Oreochromis niloticus: one gene and its partners. The protein of the gene in region 1 interacts with the protein of each later gene in a pairwise test. Links are inferred from orthologs where the notes say so. Each region holds a gene or a part of one and is shown on either strand. Other genes may lie near its edges. The genes, in order: hmg20a, rpp30 and brap.

What was found.
Region 2: the proteins of hmg20a (region 1) and rpp30 interact in binary tests that used the Homo sapiens proteins (3 or more experiments, as listed by UniProt). The two-hybrid records come from large-scale screens. The link is inferred for Oreochromis niloticus from reciprocal best matches to the Homo sapiens genes HMG20A and RPP30.
Region 3: the proteins of hmg20a (region 1) and brap interact in a two-hybrid assay, tested with the Homo sapiens proteins (2 studies listed by BioGRID and IntAct). The link is inferred for Oreochromis niloticus from reciprocal best matches to the Homo sapiens genes HMG20A and BRAP.

What each region holds. Positions count from the first base shown.
Region 1 is NC_031972.2:45,102,449-45,109,569, reverse strand, and holds the start of hmg20a (high mobility group protein 20A), read right to left. Parts: upstream 3,061-7,121; 5' UTR 2,907-3,060; intron 926-2,906; 5' UTR 902-925; coding exon 836-901; intron 674-835; coding exon 464-673; intron 1-463. UniProt on the Homo sapiens protein: Plays a role in neuronal differentiation as chromatin-associated protein. Acts as inhibitor of HMG20B. Overcomes the repressive effects of the neuronal silencer REST and induces the activation of neuronal-specific genes.
Region 2 is NC_031973.2:2,530,020-2,538,030, forward strand, and holds the start of rpp30 (ribonuclease P protein subunit p30), read left to right. Parts: upstream 1-4,919; 5' UTR 4,920-5,046; coding exon 5,047-5,128; intron 5,129-8,011. Other genes in the region: nudt13 (NAD(P)H pyrophosphatase NUDT13, mitochondrial), read right to left, coding at 4,431-4,531. UniProt on the Homo sapiens protein: Component of ribonuclease P, a ribonucleoprotein complex that generates mature tRNA molecules by cleaving their 5'-ends. Also a component of the MRP ribonuclease complex, which cleaves pre-rRNA sequences.
Region 3 is NC_031972.2:11,019,246-11,026,375, reverse strand, and holds the start of brap (BRCA1-associated protein), read left to right. Parts: upstream 1-4,114; 5' UTR 4,115-4,429; coding exon 4,430-4,508; intron 4,509-4,684; coding exon 4,685-4,846; intron 4,847-6,811; coding exon 6,812-7,016; intron 7,017-7,130. UniProt on the Homo sapiens protein: Negatively regulates MAP kinase activation by limiting the formation of Raf/MEK complexes probably by inactivation of the KSR1 scaffold protein.

The DNA of each region.
Region 1 (7,121 bases):
ATGCTTCTATCATAAGACGATGCTCGTTTCTGCTATTCTTGTATTGCATTTGAGGGCATCAAGCTACGATCTGTTAGAAGCCGTCAGAATTTCTTTGTCAGCTCCAAACACACGGTTGCTATGGATTCTAAGGGAAGTTTTTCCCTAAGCCGTTTTTGTGCAAAGTGAAAAATTACATGATGCTTTGCTGGTCTGAGGTATTGTTAAATCTGGCAAGGGATATTCTGTGTTGGCAGGTTCCAGATGAATATCGCTTGCTTCTGCTCTCTTTATTTTCTTCCACTGCTTTCTCAAAAGCTGCACTCCATAGTTGGACGTGAGTGAAAACATAGAGATTTGTTTTTAATCCTTTTGCAGGTAATCTTAAAACAGATGGAAAGAAATGCCAACAGAAATGTTTGACACATGTCTCTCCGCCACTGTGGGCTCACTGTGTAATCCTGTCTCGAACTTCTCTGCTGACCTGCTTCTCCTCGGGGGGCAGCTTGCTCCACTCGTTGCCCAGCATCCTTGTAATCTCTGGAAAGGGCACGTCTGGACGCTCTGCCCGTAGCTGCTCCCGTCTGTCGTTCATGAAGCGAACGTAGCCCGTCAGGGGGGCCTTGGGAGCGTTGCTGTCCTTCATTGGCTTCTTCCTCTTCCTCCCCTTGGTCCAGCTGCCACGTCGGGGTTTCTGCGAGATAACGAAAACAAACATGTTTTAAAGGTTCACGTAGGAGTTCTACCCTGACGTGTACTGGCAAGACTTTCTTTCAGTGTGAACTGGAATTTTTATTAATTTATATATGTATTTTTTTTAAACGTGTCATTCGATATCTGTGTGTTCACCTCTTACCTCATCTCCGTTTCTCTGGCTGTTGTTGTCAGCATTGGCTGCAGGTGAGCCCGTCTGCTCATCCATGACTCTTACGACGGAAGATTAGATCTGGAGGGAAACACTAGATGTTAGAACAAAAAACATTTCACAGCAGAAACGGCCAATAAACTATTTTTAAAACATGAATATACGATCTCAAAAGGCCAATGTTTAGTTAACCTAAAGATTGTGCCATCTATGGCAGTCAGGTGAAAAACTAGGCCATAGATTGCTGCCCAAAGGTGGGTTAAGCATTTTGAGACTGATCGGCTTCTTGTCCAAACTCCACCCAGGCTTGGCTGCAAAACAGTCTCTTGGCCAGCCTCATTTCCTCTAATAGAAATGTCTTGCTGCTATCAATCACAATTGAGCAAGTAAATGAAAAAAGAAAAACATAACACATTCACTTCTCAAGCACTAACGCAGCCTATTTTTAACAGCAGCAGTGTGGCAGTATTGCCTTAAACTTGGAGATAAGAGAACACCACTGAACGTGCTAAAACACTCTCTCAATAAAAGCACACTCACTCACCAAATATCAGTGCTTTAAAAAATGAGATTAACTGGAATCGCCATATTTTTGGAGTCTCTAACCCACTTGAAAACACTGCAAAGCATCGGTGCAAAAAACCCCAAATGAATGGCAATAGCACCAAATTAAAACCTGTGCTGATTTGGGCAGCTGCAGCCCAGGTTGAGCTGTAAATATAGGAGCAACATTGTGCATTTTAACCTTTGACCTCTCCTTTGACAACATGGGAAATACACCTCTTTAGCCTGGATGTGGTTTCTGCCCTCTGCCATTAAATACTGTGGGAAAAGTCACAGAGGAATTAGTCAGTCTACCACAAAAAGCTCTTATGGAAAGCCCCCCCCAGAAAAGAGGGGTAAGCCAGGGTTTTCTTTGTTAGACTTTTTTTCAGACCCTGAAGAAGTGATAATAAAATCCAGTGATTCTGCAAACTTATCCCCCATCTGTCATCCAAGGAAGCTTATTTGATGTTACTTTAGGAGTTCTGGGTTAGGTTGTAAGACGCTGGGTTTGACTATGAAAAAAAAAACTCACTAAAAAGTAAAAACGAGCACAGAAAAGACTAAACAGATGCTCTGTGTAGCAGAAAAAGGCTATGCCACAGTGCCCTCTGCTGGACCTTAGCACATGATGCATGACTCAAATCTCTTTTCTCCAGATAAAATGGTCCACTATCACAATCTGTGAGATAAAATATGAGGTTTAATAGTTTCACTTTTTACACGGTGACATATTGAAGCAGTATGTGATCACCATAAGGCATATACCAGAGTGCGCTTTGTCCTTTATTATAGTATACAGCTTTACTTTGGTACAAGGAGGTATCTAGGCCAACTGATGTTTCTATATTTTACACAGCAGCAGCTATAAATTATTAGACACCGCAGGATGCTGTTAGGTTAGGTTTAGGAGCTCTCTGTCAGTCGTTACGACGTTTATGTATGTGTATGTGGGATCTTCTCTGTGTGATAATCAACCATTAGCGTTTAGCCATTAAAGGCCTAACCCCTGAAGTAGTATGTTTAAACAGTAACACGCTAGGCCAGATAGTGATTAGACTTACATTTAACTTATGTAGCTAGATGTTTATGTGGGCTATTATACTGATGTATCGCTAAAAATTAAATAAATAAATAATAATCCATTTGGCCAGCAGGAATAGCGAACTATACTGGCTGCTACATGATGCTAACATACACTTGCTAAGCAAAGCTAACTTCAACAGCTGCGACAGGCAAACCTCACTCTTGGGCTGTGTGTCAGCTGAATGTCAATCAATCGACATAAAAAAGGGAGACATATTCAAATGATAATTATCAGAAGTAACAAGCTAACACTAATATATTAAACTTCTTAGCTGATTGCGAAGTGTGCTCCTAGCTAGCATTAGCAAGCCATTAGCATGAAGATGGGTCATCGAAAGCCTTTGTTTTCATTTAACCTTGACATGTGATTTGATACATCAGGAATCTAAATATTTTATGTGGATATAACGGAAGCCATTGTGTGGAAACCAACCTTATATAACGCACCCTCTAGCTGGAGCTGCCCAGAATATTTTCCTAATCAAAACAATAAAAATGTCCACTCAGATAGAATCGCACCAGATAGACAGAAAGCATGGGGGCTCCTGATGTACTTAGTCCTACTACAGACGGTTTTCCCTACGCGTATGATTTGATGTTTCATATTATCAGTGCTTTTTTGGCAGTTATGAGAAAAGCAATGTATTTATAGCGCAATGCGACTTTTCTGAATATATATATATAATAGGCAATACATTTATACATTTGACTGTAACTGGGTGGTCTCTGATTCCACCCATGCAAAACAAGCACCAGAAAAAAACAGCATAAGAAACGAAAATTAGAAAATATTTTCTACGTGATGTCTTTAAAACCCCCAAAAGCTGATTTTCTTTGATTCTATACAGCGAACTGCTCTATGCTTTCTAATTCTTGGTCTCATTTTTCTTCGTGTACCCAACCAACCACCCTCATTTAGAGCGCTACCTCCCCCTACGGTTGAGTATAAGCATTACATGTCTTAAATGGATACGTTTTTCAAAGTCAAAATCTCTTGAGAAATTTCAAGCCTTAAGCCTTTCTAATCAAACACAGGAACAAGCTACAAACCAGAGCTTGTTAGAAGTATTTAATGGATGAGATGAAAATCTTTTTTCTGATTTGGGCTGCAGTTAGGAGTCTTTAATCTTTTTGTAATTTATAAGACAATCCACATTAATTCAAGTACCACTGTTATTTATTTTATTTAGCCTTTATTTAACTAGGAAATCCCTCGAGATTATTCTCTCTTTTGCAAGGGAGGCCTGTCCAAGATGGTACACCATTGCAAAATTACAAATTATAAATGAATTATAACTCAGTACACATAAGAGGAAATAAGCAGGTCAAAGTTAACATAACAGGAACATAATATAAAAATAGAATGAATAAATACATAGAGTCCAGCTTATGAATAACACTTGCACTCTTCAAATGCAGAAGACTTTATAATAGCGCTGAACTCTCCAAGGGAGACTAACACATTCAAAAAAAGAGAAGTTTGCACTACCAAGTTCAGAAGAAATCCTACAGAGGAGTGCAAATTAGTAGCTGATGTTTTAGGAGTTTACACAGATAAGAAAGGGTGTACAAATATACCAGTGCTGTTTACCAGCTTAATGAGGGACAAGAAACCAGATTATAAAATGATATTATTATGAAATGTAAAGTGCAGAGAAGGCAGCATGTATGTAAATGTGTGAAAGGTAAAGGTGAGCATAATCAAGAGAGTATAAGAATGCACAAGGTGCTCTCTAAAGCATAAATACCTAAATATTTATTGGTTGATACTCTTTCAATAAAGTCTATGCCTAGCAAATAAAAACAAACATTTTGTGAGAGATCTGGACGTGTTTTCTGGAAAGCAGCATTATGCAATGATGCAATGATAACTGTGGGTGGCTGTAGCTCATGAGGTAGAACAGATCACCAACTGATCGGAAGGTTAGTGGTTTCCTGGACTCCTGGATATCAAGTATCCTTGCTCTATCCTTGTTCTGAAGGATACTGTCAAGATATTAACCCCACATTGCTCTCCGATTCATCCATCAAAGTATGACTGTAGTTTAGAAGAAAGTGCTTGTGTGCCTGGGTGAATGTGGCATGTTGTACAGAGCGCTTTGAGTACTCCAAGAGAGTAGAAAAGTGCTATATAAGAATCAGTCCGTTTACCATCTGATCCAGACTGAAGCCAGCTGAGTAAAGTATTGTGTCACCTGCATAAAGTTCCACTTTAGCTTCCCAATGTTATTAATAAAAAACAGAAAATTAAACAGAGCCATTATCAAAACAAACTAAAACTGAACTTTAGGGGATTCCTTTTAAAAGTTTGACTTGTATCCATCTGTATAAACATAGTGTTAATACAGATGGCTGGTTCAAGTAGCTCCTGAGCTGAAAGCAACATCACTGAGCCTAACAACAGCTCGGTCTACAGAATCAATGCCTTTAGCATAACCCATTCATCTGTGCCGCCTCGATTAGCAACCGAGGCGGCACAGATGCTTCCTGTCCAAGGAATTAATGATATTAATATAATTTGTTACCAACCTATTTGTTGCTATGACCTAGTCTAAGGCCAGACTGGGTTTCACATACAATCTTATTGTCAACCAAGTATTCTTTCAACTGAGAGTTGCATCCACATTGAAAGTGTGGATGCAGGGGGATAATTGTTTAAATTTTAATAAGGGGCAAACATGGCCTGTATTTGTATAGCGCTTTACTAGTCTCTAAGGACCCCAAAGCGCTTCACACAACCAGTCATCCACCCATTCACACACTGGTGATGGCAAGCTACATTGTAGCCACAGCCACCCTGGGGCGCACTGACAGAGGCGAGGCTGCCGGACACTGGCGCCACCGGGCCACTGACCACCACCAGTAGGCAACGGGTGAAGACTGTCCAAGCCGGGGCTCGAACCGGCAACCTTCCGATTACAAGGCGAACTCCCAACTCTTGAGCCACGATCGCCCCGAGAGAGACATAGACTGCTTTCCAGGTATTATTATTTTCCAGGTATTATCATATTATTCTAGGGACTCAGATTAAAAACAGCCATAACAGGCTCAATAATAAAATCAGCTACATGCTTGAAAAGATAAGTATTCAGACTGTCAGGTCTAGATAACCTTTTTTGGATCAGTGGATTTCAAAGCTTTGCGAGTCACCACAGTCAAAACAGGTCTAAAGACAAAAGGGTTCTTTGAAAAGGCAAGATGACATTCAAATCAGAACACAGACACTTTGCCACATTTGTATTAAAAACAGAACTAGCTGTTCATTAAAATGTCCAACAATGTCAGCTTTACTCTTAATCTCAACTCATTTAATAAATATATATTCAGGCAGGACTGGAGTAGAACTGGGAACATGCCAGTAATTTTATCTGATTCCAAAATTTAGAGGGATTATTCAGGTTTTATGACATTGTGACTTTGACTTTTGAGTCTTAGACTTGAAAAAAGTTACATGTGAAGTTATTACATTACACTAACTGTTAATATAATTACTTTATAGATCAAGTAAAAATACCTGTTCCTCAAGATTGTTAAAAATACCTTTGAAAAGCAAAACAAGGTTGTGTTTGTTCTTTGTAACTAAGGGTGGATTTGAGTACACATCCACGTAGGTGTAGATAAAATCACAACTTTCTCTGTGGGTTAATGTGGGGTGTTCAAACAGTCTTGGTGTGAGAAACAGAACTAAAACCTTCGCTAAGATGCAAGATAAAAGCGTGTGCTTCCGAGAGGGAGAGCGAGACAGGGAAGGCTAATGCGCTAATTCTTAATTAACAGATCGTAAATCGACACCCAGGCAGGAGTAAACCAACTGTAGCTGCAGTCTAATTAAAACTTTGATTGTAATCTCACTCCAATTATCCTGAGGTAATCCAACCCAGTTCTTCGGCACAGATTGGGTGCATCAAGCCACCCGTTAGATTTTTAGAAAAGAGAGTCTTTATTTATTTATTTATATATTTATTTTACAATATCTTGTTCACACAATCACAACATCAAATTCCAGGCAATATGAGATCTCTAACATTTAAACACTATGAAGTTTAGAATCTATTTGCTGCTATTATTTCAAAAAGAAGTTTTCATATTAAACAGAGCTGCCTTGATTTCTAGTGTAGCTGTTGGTTATCCCGTTGTACCCACAGAGGTGCTGTAGCAGCAGTTACACTGACAAAGTGAGCTTGTCCTGGCAGGTTAAAAAGAGGAGTAACAGCTCTAAGTCAAGTGTCTTGTGGGTACATCTCATTCAGAGCCTGCTGTCTGTGGCAAAACTGACATTTTTGGGTTTTTCTGCAGTGGGATTTTTCCCTGCAGGAAAATATTGAACACTAGTGCAAAAACTCTAAGTCCATGCATCTCAAACCAAACTCTGACAAGCTACACTAAACTGGTCAATGCAACACGGCCAGAAAAGTTGTTTACCATATGAGGCTGTATTTTTTTTCTCCACTCTGGGATTTAAAATAATAATGACAATGAGCACACAAAAAGAACCTGATATTGGCGAGGTTGGAAAAAGCGTCCGGCAATAAAAATGGCAACTCTACCAGCAGATATTTCATATTCTAGGTCTCTAACAGTCATGAATTTTATAAGAGGTAGCCTTGCTATGTAGAATCGTGTTTGTCACTAATTGGCTGACTTGGAA
Region 2 (8,011 bases), on another chromosome or scaffold:
AGCTGGGACATCCACCCCACTAATGTTGCAGGGTGGACCCATGGACCCCCCCCAGTGCAGAGCCACACTGCGTTTCTGCAGTGGAGGCTTGCACATGGACCTCCAGCTGCCTCTCGGAGAACCTGCTGCAAAAGCACCGCACCACCTTGACTGCAGAGCACCGAGTAACGAAGCTCTGTTAAAGACGTTCACTCCTCTACTGCAGCACTGCAGTGGTGGAAAAGCAGGAAAAAAAACACACATTTCCCAGTGTCCACTGTTCCCTCCTGTAGCTGATATAGATTGTTTGTAGACAAAAGATTCTCATTCAAGTTTTCCTGATTTCCCACTGAGTTAACGATTTCAAGGGATTTTCCTCGACACCCACTGGCTCCAAAAAAGACTGAAAGCTTAACAGAAAATCTCATCCTGAACACTGAACTGTTAATGCGAGCACAGCTGCGGTGCTACTGCTGCACGATGGTCCGATGATGAAGCCCACAGGTGATGCTGCTGACCTTATCACTGCTGTTAAAACCCCGTCTAAGCTGGCTGCTTTTACAGTGACAACTGTCACTTTGACTCATGAGTATATTTTAATTCCTGGGTTTATTTTCTCCACACATCAGTGAGCTCGTTCTCTGCCGTGTTTCTGGTCTGTGTCCAGTCCCCGCCTACTCCTATAACCGAGCTACTGCTTATCTGTTTGAGTTACTGTGCAGTTTGTTAAAAAGACGCTCAGCACAGACTTTATGACTGCTGTTCATCATCCTGTGACCTGAAAATCCTGTATCACTTGTTCCTGTTCGTGCACTGAGCTGGGCCTGCTGCTCACCTGCAGCAGCATCACATAGGTAACCGGCTGACCCCACAGGTAGGTCGTTGCTGACAGTGTTACCTGTCTGCTGCGTGCCACAGCTTCTCTCCGCAGCCTCTAATTGTGCAGCCCTGATGAGCGTTCATGGCCAACGTTGCCGCACTCACAGCACCGAGACTACCAGCTGTGTAAACCACGTTCTCATATTTAACCTTACATGATACAGCAGGGTCACTCAGGTAACGCACACCTGTCTCCGTACAGACTGAACGTGCTGCACCCTGCCGTCATCACAGCCGAGACCAACCACCCCGAGCCCGCTGGCGAACTTGCCAAAGCGGGTCAGCTGTTTTTGGATCAGATCACCGGACATGGTGATTCGCGCTGAAGCATGAATAAAGGTGAAGCGTCCATAAACAAGTCAACGATGCTCCTTTCACCATGAAGGTGGACCAACCATTCGTCACGGAGAACGACAACTACGGCCTTGTTCCTCCGAGAGCCGTAAGTGATGTTCTCGTGGCCCACCTGTTCTCCAGCAGCTGACAGAGCCTGCTTCACCCCACGTCTACACTACAACTGTTAACTGAAACTCCAACCCAGTGAAATAAACTTATCTTACCTTTAACCAACGAACAACCAACAAACAACCACAGGGTGTAAAGCTTCTGAAAATATAGCCCAAACAAACTCACTCACACTCCCAGCATGCAGTGCAGGAAGGACAGGAGCATTTTGTTTTAATGTCAGTTGCCTTGGAAACAGATGAGTGAGGTCAAAGGTCGATTAGACCCATTCAGCCAATAATCAGCTGTTGTAAAAGCTGCTGAAGTCAGCTGATCAGTTGGTCACGGCCTGGACAAGAATCTGCTGGAGCCAATCACCACGTGACCTGCCCTTTAACCCCACCCACAGCAGAGGGAGCCTCCACCTTGAACCCTGCAGTAACCGTCTGCAGTTACACCATTGACTGTAGAAAACATGGACGACGCGACTCCGCCTCCTACCATTGTGCAAAAATGAAGCCAAAATATCCCGCTTGTGGAGGCTGCCATCTTGCAAATTTGGAGCCAGAGTCTGCGCAGTAGTGACTTGAGGTGGAGCGACTGTGTAACGCTCCCGCCCACACACCCGCTGGACATGACCGCAAACACGCCCCCCTACACTTTTTACGTAGCCCGGCTGCTCAAGTTTTTTTGCTGGTTTACCGCGACTGACGACTCTTTAATTAAGGTAAATACAACCATGTCACTGTTATTAAAAAAAGACGCACAGCTTATCATCTTATAGTTCTAAAATCACTTTGTTGTTAATTCGTTTGCTAGATTAGCCGCTAGCATACGCACTGTGTTGGAGGCTTGTTGTTAGCTAGTTAGCGATGCTACACACCTAATACTCTAATAGTCTGTTATTGAAGGATTCAGCACTTCTTATGTTTGTTATCCATTTTTAGACAGCGATGAGATCATCTGCACACGCTACAGAAGCCCAGAGTTACTGTTAATATCAAAAATATAATGCTGTCCTTTGAGATTTTAACATAAGACTGTGAGTGTAATGGATCTAAAACTGTTTAAATCTTCAGAGCCCTCTACAGCCTGGTAACATGGAGACTTTAAAAACATCAGCAGAACGTTTCAATAGTGTAGTCTAATTTGTTCTTTTCATTTAATAATAGAGTCCACATTATATCAACAGCTACATTCACCCTGGGGAGAAACTAGTGAGGGAGACCATCAGGACCAAGCTGGGTTTCCTGGGTCCAGAGGTTTGGAGAAACTTCTTCCTTTTCTTTCATCACAGCTGTTCTGTGCTAAAGGTGCTGTTGACCTACTGAAAGAGGCTTCATTTAAGAAACACCAGGAAGACTGAAGCTCATCGCATTGATCAAGCAGGACTCATGATCTTCACCAGCAGCTCCCTCACAGGGAAATCTTCAGCACTCCTCCATAGGCCCGATCCAGGAGATGGATAAACCCAGCATTTCATGAACACTGTGATGGAGACCTTTGGTTTGTGTAATGTTATAAATACTCGGATACTCCCCAGAGGCTCCAGACTTTTACATAAAGATATTATATTCAGTCCTGTAGAAAGTTATATATTTAAAAATATATGATCCTCTCTGGTTACTCTGGTATGAATAACTCTGAATCACTTTATGGTAAATAACACATTATCTGCAAAAAACTGTGAAAGAATTCCAGATGACAAGTTTGTAGTTCAACATACAAGTGATGATGTTTGATCTTCATCAGATTTTATTTAATTGTGCCAGAGAAAATCTCATATGCTCTTCATGCAGCTGAGTACATCAAGTGTTTAAAACGGAAGCTGTGCAGGTCTGAGATACAAACTGAGGTCCTGTTAATGCTGATATATAGTGACACAGTTACATGAGTGATTAATCCTTTTGTTTTTTTGTCTTTAACTTTATCAATAAAGCTGCAGCTTTCACTACAGCACGTGTGGTACTTTAACCTTTGTACTGTTTTCATCAGTTCATTTTGCAGTTAACATGTTGGATGATCTGTCTGCTGTCACTGGGTGGTGCTGAGGTCTGAATCTGAGGGCAGCTCCTGTAATCACAAAGACAACAGAACCATCAAACTCAAATATAAATTTTATCCCTCAAAATTGAAATGAAGCTGATTCTTCTGTCCTCACACACTCAGGATCTGAAGTTCTTCTCTTACATTTTTTTCAGTATTACAGTACACTACAGTACTTTAATCCATATTTCCTGATTAATGAGGAGTTACTGAAGTACAAGCTTTTAAAAAAAGATGTTACTGTCTTTACAGATGTGGCAAGAGACTGAAAACATGCTGTTTGCACATATTTAATATTCAGTTCTGCACAGGAGCTGCAGCAGGGTGCAGCCTGATGCTTTTACAGTATAATACTTGTAATAAAAGTACAGTAATTAGTGACTGATTAGCCCGGAACGTTTCTCTTGATTTCTTTAGTAAATTCATTCACCTGCACAGATTAGCTAAACGAACCCTGACAGCCGAGTGCTCATTTTAGCTAGCTAGGTCTCGGGACATAGCTAAGGACGGTAGTTACGGATTAGCTTACAAACACGATTAACTTACCGAAAAAGTGCAGCCGGGCCTCGGGTCCTTCTGTCGGGTAGTCCAGTTTACTGAAGAACACCTCAGGCTGTCAGGTTAAAACACTCGGTCGTGTTTTCGTAGCGTAAACGCTGGCCCTCCTCTCAGAATCTACGCTCTATCTGCTATTCCCGAACAGAGATACGCAAGTTTCTCCGTGACTGCAGCTGCCAGTCAAAGCTGCTATGATGACGTTTCACCCCAATTTAACATCGCCGCGGTAGGAATTAGAATCAAACTTATGGGAAAGGAGACCCCTTGGACATCAATCAGCATGATGAGAACTATTGATAACAAAAGAAAGAATCTTTGGAAAAACATTATCTAAGGAGAATAAATTTATTTTAGTCTGACCCCAGTCCCATCCGCTAACATGGAGGAGGCGGGGTTTATGACCTATACTGCAGCCAGACACCAGGGGGCGATAGAGACGTTTTGGCTTCATTTTTGGGGAGCTGTGGCGTCGTCCATGTTTTCTACAGTCAATGAGTTACACCCACAGTTCCTGCAGCTCTGACCTTAAATCAGCCACTTTTTGAACGGAGTCTGGTGTGAGTCTCTTTCCTTCCTGTGGAGCTTCTGACGCTACTGCTTCTTCTTCTTCTGCTCTTATTTTCATGTTGCTGCACGACAATAACAGCAAGAAAACTACCGCCCCCTGCAGGACAAACGCCACACTTACAGGAATTATAATTATATTATGATTCATTCATTCGTGTAATTTATCGCTTATATATTATAAATATATGTTATGATAGAACTGAAATGTAAATGTATTTAAAAATAAAACTCTGTGTGTAAAATATAATATTATATTAATTATACGATAGAAAACATTAATTTGATATAATGAATATAATTGAAATATGACGTCACTGTTCGCGTCATTATTTGACTGTTATTATTGTACTGTGGACAGGCGTGGCTCTGACAGGGCTGAACATCCATCAGTCTGCCTGTTAAAACTTTATTTCCAGTGTTTCACAGTTTGAATAAATAAAGGTTTCATATTCAGTTTTCACCTCAGACAGGTAAAAACGACTTTAATGCTACTTCCGCCTGTGACGTGAGGACTGCTGTTCCCAGCAGTCTTTGCAGCTGCGCACACGTGGTGGAGCGGCGGACGGAGGCATCATGGCGGTGTTTATGGACCTGAACGTGCCGTTTCTCCCGGACAGGAGCGACCTGCGCAGCGTCGTAGAGACGGCGGCTCACCGTGAGTGTCCGCGGCCGCAGACAACGCTCTGTGCGCCGGCCTGCCGCTGCTGAGCCCGGGGACGTAACGCTGCTGGCTCCCGAAGCAGCAGCTTTAAAAATGACTGTTTTTTGAATGGAGTCTGGTGGAAAACTTTGTGCCTGCTCTCTGAGCTGCTGCTGAAACTTCACTTACAGGACCATCTCAGGTCAGATCTCTCAGAGGGCAAGCAAGAAGTTTTCCACCAGACTCCATTTAAAAAACTGTCATTTTAAGGTTTCTCCGCGGTTTGCAGAAATGTAAACAAAAGTCTGTACTCTCGTATTCCTCAGAGACTGATGATTTTAATTATGTGTTCACAGTTGTTCCAAGCCAGAGCCGTAACACACTGAACTAAGTGACATAATACAGCTTAGAACAAACAGCTCTATAAACAATTACACACAGTAAATATATAAGTGTTAACACTGAGCTGCCCTCTTGTCCTGCTGACTTCGTTCCTCTGTGTGTGCAGATAGTGAGGCTCTAACTATTACAGTGTTTACAGTGTGTTAGATGGAGGAGTTATACAGGGAGATGGACACGGGCAGGAATGACTTCCGGTGTCGTTCAGTGGTGCATCATGGGTAATCTCAGTCTCTCACTGAGCGTGCTCCTGTGATTGGCCAGTAGAGCAGGGTGATATGACCAAAAATATTTATCACGATATACATTTGAAAATTTGAGATAACAATATAACTGACGATATAATTGACACTAGACAAAATACTTTACAACTCCGCAACTTTATTAGTACAAAATCCCCATCAATGTATTTTCACTTAAACAAGCAGCTGTTTTTTTATGTGCATTAAAGTTATATAAAAATTTAACAGTGCAAATGCAAATTCCTTGCTAAAAGTTTAACCAAAAGGCATTTCTAGTGGAAACTGGCGACATATCCTCAACATAACCATGTATAATATCCACAAACCTTAAAAAGAGGTTATACACACACAATACGGTAATATTATGTTGAAGCACAGTACGTATCACTCCGCCAGGCTCCTGCCTACGATAGCCGTAATGCTCCGACAATCCATCAAGCGGTGCGGCTTCGTAGCTTAACAAAGTCCTACTAAAACATTTAACAGATTTTCGAGCGCCGTGTACCACGTGTACCGCCGAGGTCAGTAAGCACAACCAGAATTCATACATAACGCGAGATTATAAGGGGCACTGTCGATTTTCAGAAAAATCAAAGGATTGATTTTAAGTGTGCCGTATTTTCCAAAAAACAGGGCAATAACGACGGCCCGCTAGCATGCGCTACCAAAAATAGTGCTTTGTTGTGTATCTGACGGACGAAAGCTAAACCAGTTCCACACCACTGACGTTGCAGCATTTTTACAAACCAGTTCTGGTTCATCTGTTTCACTCAACGATCCGCTTTCGCCCTTCTCATTCTCCGTTGCCGCCATGCTTTTTCCGCCATATGGCCCAGCCCTATTGGCCAGCATGTCATGGAGTGGGTGGGAGGTATTGTCCAGTATTGTCTTTATTTTGGACAACATCCATCTCTCAGACACCACCCTAAGGGAGTCCAGCTCCATCCCCACAACATTACTGGCCTTGTGATCAGTTTATTGAGTCTGTTGGCATCAGCAACCCTCAACCTGCTGTCCCAGCATGCAGCAGCACAGTGGATAGCACTGACCATAACAGACTCATAGAAACTCCTGAGCATTGTCCGACAGATGTTGAAGGACCTCAGAGACGACTCCGGGACTGCCTGTAGAGGGCAGTGGTGTTTTTAACCCAGTCCAGTTTATTATCTATGTGCACTCTGAGGTATTTATAGTCCTCCACAACATCCTCATCCTGGATTGAAACAGGGGTCACAGGTTTCCTGGCCCTCCTAAAGTCCACAATCAGTTCTTTGGTCTTTGCCACATTGAGCTGCAGATGATTCTGCGTGACGTGACAAAGGAGTCGACCACAGCCCGGTACTCTGACTCATCACCCTCACTGATGCATCCAACCACCGCAGAGTCATCAGAATCTTCTGAAGATGGAGGTCAGTGGCTGAAGTCTGTGGTGTGGAGGGGGAGAGGACGGTCCCTTGTGGTGCCCCTGTGTTGCTGATCACCTTGTCAGACACACACTGTGGAAGACGCACACATTGTGGTCTTCCTGTTAGGTAACAACAATCCAGGACACCAGAGAAGCATCCACCTGCATCGCTGTTAGCTCATCACCCAGGAGGCTCGGCCTGATGGTCCTCGCCGGCTGGTCCAGCAGACCTGGCTGAGTGGAGTCTTCTCGTTTGTCTCTGAACCTGGTTGTGAGTGAAAGTGACAGGTGTGGGAGGGGTATGGCTGTGGACTGCAGGCTGACTGCAGGTAAGGCTATAGCGGGAGGCGCTTTACCTGCAGTGTAAATCTGGTGAACAACACATTCACTCCTTACCTCTGCCCTCACCCTCCTCTGCTCTCTCATGCTGTTCTGCTTCCTCCTGTAAATGTCCTTATCCTCTCTGATCTCGTCTCTCAGTAACACCTGAACCAGTCTCACCTCTTCTCTGATGCCCTCCTCCTGTCATTGAGGAGGGTTTGATGTCTTCAGCCTCTCATGGTCACTTTATTATCAGTGAAACATCCTGTCAGTCAAGTTTAAGTGATCAGATTTGCACCCAAAACAACAAACAACAGCCAAACCAGACTCCATTCAAAAATCAGCAATTTTTAATGGTTTTACGAGTTCAGTTAAAACAAAATGGAAAACATCCATCCATCCATCCATTCGCTTCCGCTTATCCTTTTCAGGGTCGCAAGCTGTGGGGATAGGTACATCAGCCGTGTCCATGGTTACAGGATTATAATCTGAAGGGTGACAACCTGATTCATGGTTTGGTGTGTGTGGAAA
Region 3 (7,130 bases), about 34 Mb from region 1:
CTAATCTAATAAATTATTGTACATAATAAAGAGCAACAACCACAACTCCGTGACTAAATGAGAATATAAGACACAATAAACCACTATCTGTGTGTTGGTCAGTTATGTTTCCTTTTTATTATTGTTGACTTTATTATTTTCTGGTGATTTACAAAAAAAGAAAAACGCAGTTGAAGGATTGCTTTTCCAGCACATTGGAGAGCAAATGGGCACAATTTTACATTGAACTCATGAACTCTTTGTATCTCTTTGGATGCCTGACTGCCTGCAGGAAGCCTTCAGACTGATGTTTCCCCATACACAAATTATTGTCATTGTCATTTAAAAAAAAAAAAAAAAAAAATTAATTTCTTTGCTTCGTGTACCCTGTGTGTGTGGCTTTAGCACTAAAAGTGGAACCACCTCTGTAGTTGCAGTATTATAAAGAGCAATGTTGGAATGAGTTACTTAACCAGGGTTGGGTTTTTTCTTTTTTTTGCGGGGGGGGGATTGTTATTGTCTGCCGCTTTTTGTTTGTTTGTTTTGTTTTTTGTTTTTTAATACTAGTGGCACCATTAGTGGAAGTGGTGCTTGTAAACAAGGTCTTGTGGAATCAGGTTGTTCCAGCACAAAGAAGAAATCAGGCTTCAGAACCTTTAGAGACAGGAATGATTAGAATTATTTAAGAGACCATCTATGACTATCATAACATGAATGTTCACCAAAAACATGCTTTCTGTTGAGGCTGTGCATATGCAACTGCTTGAATTTGCGTTGCTGAAGGAAAAAGGAAAAAGTGACAGTTATAAAGATAAATGCAAAGGAGGCTGTGACTAGACTAAATATACTGATGTTCATACTAGACCAGATTATATGTCCAGCCCAACATGCAGCTTCATAGTAACTGTCCTGGGACAACTCTTCTGTCTCAGGTGTGTTTCACAGGCGGACATTGGACCTAATTGTAAATAGCTGAGGCAGCCTTTTTTTGAAGTACTGTGTGTGAGCGAGGACTTTAGTGTGTTTTTAAAAGCAGGTGCAGTAGATGCTATGAGATTTGTCCTGTTAAAATGGTTTTGTCATTCCTGCTTTATTCCCTCATCTTCCTTCCTCCCCCTACTAAAAGACTCGTGAACCAAAATGGTGTCATCAGCTGCTGCATCTTCCCAATTTGTGCAAAATCAGCATCTTGTGCTATCATCAGTAAACAGGAGGTGGAGGAAAGAAGCAAATGGAGGCATAGTTTACAAATACCAAGGGGCACTGATGGCACTGCAGGTTGTGTGCAGTTTTATTTATACTATTGTAAGAATTTGGCATAGCAATGTGAATATGTGAGAAAATGACAAACTCTTCCCCTTCCTGTTAGTCCTGAATATGCATACAGTTGCATACACATCTGCTAATAAATGCCTTTTTTTTTCTTTTTCTTTTTCTTTAAAGAGTCAAGCCCATCTGTTTGAGTGGTTGGACAGAAGGTGTCTGTGATCTGATTACATGTGTTGAGAATAATGGTTGACAATCTGGAGTGTCATCTTGCCACCCTCTTTTGTTAGAAAATGGAAAACAGAAACACTGGAATGTCAAAGCTTTTTTTAAATAAAACAAGGTAAATGTGAGGATTTTGCTGTATTTTATGTTTCCGTTATTATCAACACTAGAAGAAGTAAAAGTCGGCTTTAGATTTGGACAACTTTTCTAAATTCTAGTCCTACAGATATCCCCACAGATGCTGTTTAACAGGACCAGCCAACCAGAAGAAGTTTAGCTTTAAAAGGAGGGGAGCTACACCAGCTTGTTTCAGACACAATGAACTGAAACTTTGGAAATAAACTCAAAATACGAGTACAGGAAATTGATGTTCTTTAAATGTCTTCCCTTAAGTGCATTAGTCAGTCAGTCCATGGTGATTAAACCCAAATCATGAAGTTTCCTATACACACAGGCAACAGTCAGTTTGGATGAAACACTGAAAACAAAAGAATTTTTAAACAAATTATAAGAACCACTCATACAAAGGACCTCAACCCCAGGATGAAGAGTGTAATGGAACATTTTGTATGACACAAGATGATGAACAAAACTGGAGAGAAGGCAGAAAATCCACTGTGGTGACACCTTAAAGTAGGGGTCGGCAACCCGCGGCTCCGGAGCCGCATGCGGCTATTTAGTCTTTATTTTGCGGCTCCGGGTGGTTTGGGAAAATAAATTAGAAGTATTTAGCTAAAGTGTATTTTATTTGTGTTTAGTTCTTTTTTTAACTTGTACTTCTAAATTGGAAGATTATTGTGATTTTGAAATGTAAAAATAAAATTATATCTTATTATTTTTTCATCGCTCAAAATAAGCGTCACACTCGCAGAAGCCGGTGTACCCGCCAAAACGCCGTGCATTTATCGAGACTTTCGACACCAGGTAGGCCAATTATGGATCTGGATCCACATTATGTCAGCAGCTGTTCTCCACCGTGAACTATGTTAAAAACAAACACCGCTCACGCCTCACAGATGACAGCTTACAGTCCTGCGTAAAGATGAAAGCCCCGATTTGCAGACGCTGTGCGCAGAGGTTCGGGACCATAAGTCTTATTGTAAACATATCACGGCAGACTCGACGATGTTTGCATGAACATGCTTTTCAGCATCTCTTTATTGACCACTTTTCACACACGGTTGCTGTACGCATACAGCCGGCTGTAGCTTTTCAGCTCACAGCCCGACAACACAACAGCAGAGAGAGCACAGGCTTTAGGGCGGCGAGGCGTGATTGCGGGTGCCGCTCAGGTGCGTCCGACTCCCATGCAGCGGCACTGCAGACCACGCCCCACCACACACATTAACCAGGTAAAACATGTTTAGGCAGAATTTTGCAAATATCTAATTTTTTTTAGCAGCATAGAGCTTTTTTTCCTAATTACTTTTTAAAAGTCAGGTCAAGGCTCCAAAAGCCCAAAGGCAATATAAGGGTGGCGGCTCACAACAGTTTTTGTTTGCTACATGGATCATTTTAGTTCAGCTGGGTTTCTTTCCTTTTGTTATATTTCTTTAAGAGTTTAAAATGTGTTATTTACTTAAATAAAATTTAATTTTCTCTGTAGCACTTCATGGGATTTCATAAGCAACACACCTTAGTTGCTCTGTGGATTCTTTTAAAAAGCAGTTAAAAACTTTTCTGTTCAAACAAACCTTTTGTTGATCTACGTATTTTATATTCTTTACATTATTTACATTTGATATTTTACATTGTGTATAATGTCTATTGATTGTATTGTTTATTTTAATATTTGTGTACAGCGCTTTGTGACTGCCTGTCTGTGAAAAGCGCTTAATAAATAAACTTTACTTACTTACTTTAGTTGTTCACACAAAGCATAAAGGTAAAAAAACCCCCCCAATATATACAGTGTTATCTTCATTTTAGATTTCAAAAAGTATTTGCGGCTCCCAGTGTTTTCTTTTGCGTGGAAACCAGGTCCAAGTGGCTCTTTGGGTGTTAAAGGTTGCAGACCCCTGCCTTAAGGGAGCAGCCAAAATAAGATGATGATGAACATCCAAGAGTGTGGAGACAGAGAATGTGGCATTTGAACTCCATATCAGCTATCAGTTATTAAAATGAAGATGATGGACATTTTGGGGGCCTTTTGATTGGTGGAAGATATTAAGAACATTTCAAGGTAAAATTGAATATTCATATTTTGGCGGGCATACTTATTATTCAGAAGTCACTAAGGAGGTTCTGAGGCTGGTTTTATCTGAAGACCAGCATATGTGTTTACTTGTCAAAGAAGGTTTCTTGTAAGGAAATAAACGAGACTGTTCTATAATTAGAATGCACTTCTGTCATGAGTAAGTCAGTCATAAAAATGTCAATGTGCTATGACAAAGGGAGAAATAATGTGGGAGATTTTGCCTTGCAATACAAGGAAAAACACCTTTTCCTGTTAAAGTCGTCATCATCATCTTTTTCTTCTTTTGGCTGCTCTCTTTAGGGGTCGCCTCAGCAAAATATCTACCTCCATCTGTCCTTAGTATCTTTTTCTGTCACACCATCCGTATATAAAAAGGAACAAGAATAAATAAAACAGCAGAGGGCAGTAATGCACCGCTGTAGCGTCTACTCTGCCTTACTAAAATTAAAGATGAAAAAACTGAAGAAGACGAAGAAGAAGAAGGGGAAGTGGTTCGACACAGCTAGCTTGTATTAGATTTCAAAACAAATCTGATTTGTATTTTTATGCGCGGAAAAGAAAGAAAAAACAGTGTGCATAACATGAAAGCTTTAAAGCTAAACTGAAAGCTCTTTGCTTCTGCTGTATTTGTCTGCTTGCTGTAATTAGACACGAACTGAATATCTTGCCAGTCATCCATCTAGCTCTACGTGCTAGCTGTTTTAGCTCAGTTGTCAGCGGCTTGTTTTGTTCTGTGTTAAGTGGCAGCCCCAGTTATAACACATGAGTGTGTCACTGGTCGTTATTCGTCTGGAGTTAGCCGACCAGTCACCTTTTCCACAAGGTTTCCAGTACTGCGCTGGTGAGTTTTATTCTCTTAATTTTCAAACATCTGCTGAAAGTTAAACAGCTAACCAACAGTGGGCGTGAAGACCCATTTGTCCACTGCTAGTTGTTTTACTGTTTTCACAAGGTAATTTCAAACTAACGAGTTGCTTCATTAGAACTATGGCCTGACTCTGTTCCTCTGGTGTGCAGTTGAAGGCATGTCAGAGGAGGAGCTACAGGAGAAAGCTCTGGGTTTAGCCAAACACAGTCTGAGTGGAAAAACCGACCTGGAAAGATCAGCTGTGCTGCACCAGCACATCGGCAGCAGAGCCATGGGGGACATGGTGATAGAGACCTTTGAGCCCAACCCAAGTAAGAATTTTCCTGATGTTTAAGTGTACCTATAAAATATGAAAAGCATAAAGTCAACTGTAAGAGCAATACTTCACTGTCCTTTGGGGAAGGTTGTCTTCGGATCAAAGTTTTCATCACACTGAACCTAATTCAGCATCTTAATAACTATTAATCTCAACGTTTGCATGGTTAGTAAATAATCTTTCTAAAAAGCCAGGCAAGTGGGAAATAACAGGGAAGAAAATGAACGTGTAAAATACTGACACACTCTTTTCCATATTTGGTCATCAGGTGACTGTGTATAAAAAACACATTACTTTCTGGCCATTTTGTTAGGTTACCCCTACTATGTCAGGCCCCTTTTGCATCCAGAAATGCCTTAATTCTTCATTGCACAGGGCTAACAAGGTGCTGGAAATGAAAAAGTTTTTGGTCTATATGATGCTTTGTAGATTTGTCAGCTACGCATTTGTGACACATATCTCCCGTTCCACAACATCCCAAACATATTGTATTGCAGCAGTCCCCAACCTTTTTTGCGCCATGAACCGGTTGTGTGCTGTCCTTTAAGGTGTCGCGGATAAATACAACAAAATAAAATGATACGACCAAGACAAAAACTGTGGTATTTTATAAATATAATAATAAACGCAAATTCACTATGTAATTGTGTAACTTTATTAGCAGCGTCTTCCTGAAATGCGCCAACGACATTGAGAGTAACATCCTCCTCTCTGGTCCTTAATGTTCTCTGGTCACTATGGTAACGCATAAATGTTTCTTTCAAAATAAGACACACAACTACAACACGGGAAAAGACCCAGGGAAACCGAGTTAATGATAAAAACCCTGAAAACCATACATTTCACACCGGAGCCTCATCTCTTGCGGCCTGGTACCAAACAACTCACGGACCGGTACCGGTCCGAGGCCCGGGGGTTGGGGACCGCTGTTCTAAATGTCCCAAGAAACTGTCTCCCACAGTATTATTCTGCCACCCATCTGAACCATTGATGCAAGCCAGGATCCATACTTTCATGTTTTTTTGCTTGAAATTCTCACCTTACCAGCCAAATGTTGCAGAAGAAAACTAGACTCATCAGAGCAGACAACATTTTTCACATCCCCTAATTGTTTGGCTTTTGTCTGAATTGTAGCCTGTGGAGATGGATGTGCTGGAAAATCCCAGTGGATTATCAGTTTCTAAAATACTCATACCAGTCCTTCTGGCACTAACAACCATGCCATGTTCAAAGTAATTTAAGTCGCCTTTGGCCTCCATAAATAAAATTTGCCATTTATACATATTCATCCTCTTTCTTGTCTTCTCATTTCTTAGTTTGTAGAGCCTCAGTTTCTCTTTTCGCCTCTACTCACATCTTACTTCATTCCTTCTGAGAGATGTGAGCTGAGGAAGTGACAAATTTTAAAGCCATTTTAAATAATTAGAACATTTGGCTCAGCAAAATTATTTTCAAAGTATTTTTTTTCCACAGTCTACTTTTGTTCAGAGATTTCAGATGAGAATATTTAGGTATATTTAGGCGTAGAATAGGCCTGCGTGTCTATTCTAGCTGTGAACCAGCTCTTTCATGCATGGAGGTTAAAAACACTTCTCCAAATGATCGTCTGGCAAGCCTCCTCTCTCCTCTGTCCTGTAGATGCGTTCTAAGAATGAAGACATCCTTTAGCATGGTGCATTGAGATCGATTTTCCTCTCACAGGCAGGCGTGTGGAGGACAGATGAGGAGACACAAATTAGAGAATCAAATGTAATCAGTTCTGATAAATGGATTTAATTAGGATATATTTAATTACATTAGTCTTTTGGGGAGTTATTTTACATATTCATAGACCAATGTTTTATTTTGTTTTTTTTAATTCTTGTAAGCAGGAATGAAAGTAAGCCAATTCAAGTTTGGTTTTGTCTGTTCATCCACATTCAAAATATATATAATTTAAATTGCTGAATTTCTCTTTCAGACACAGGTGGACGTGAGGAGCGAAACAGTGAAGTTCAGGATGCAAAGACTGGTGTAGACAGTCAGGAGGGTGCAGAGGACAGGAGGTTTGTGACAGGCACAGCTCTGGACTCACCCTCCAAGCAGCTGCCGGACCAGATCTCTTTCTTCAGCGGGAACCCCTCAGTGGAGATCATTCACGGTATCATGCACCTCTACAAGACCAAGTGAGTCTCATCTGGTGTGTTTATGATAGATGTGATGAGGTGAACATAAGGGATCATTATTTGGGCACTTTTTACCAGATCATTGTCAGCTAAAATGTAGCTGATAAAAGTCTG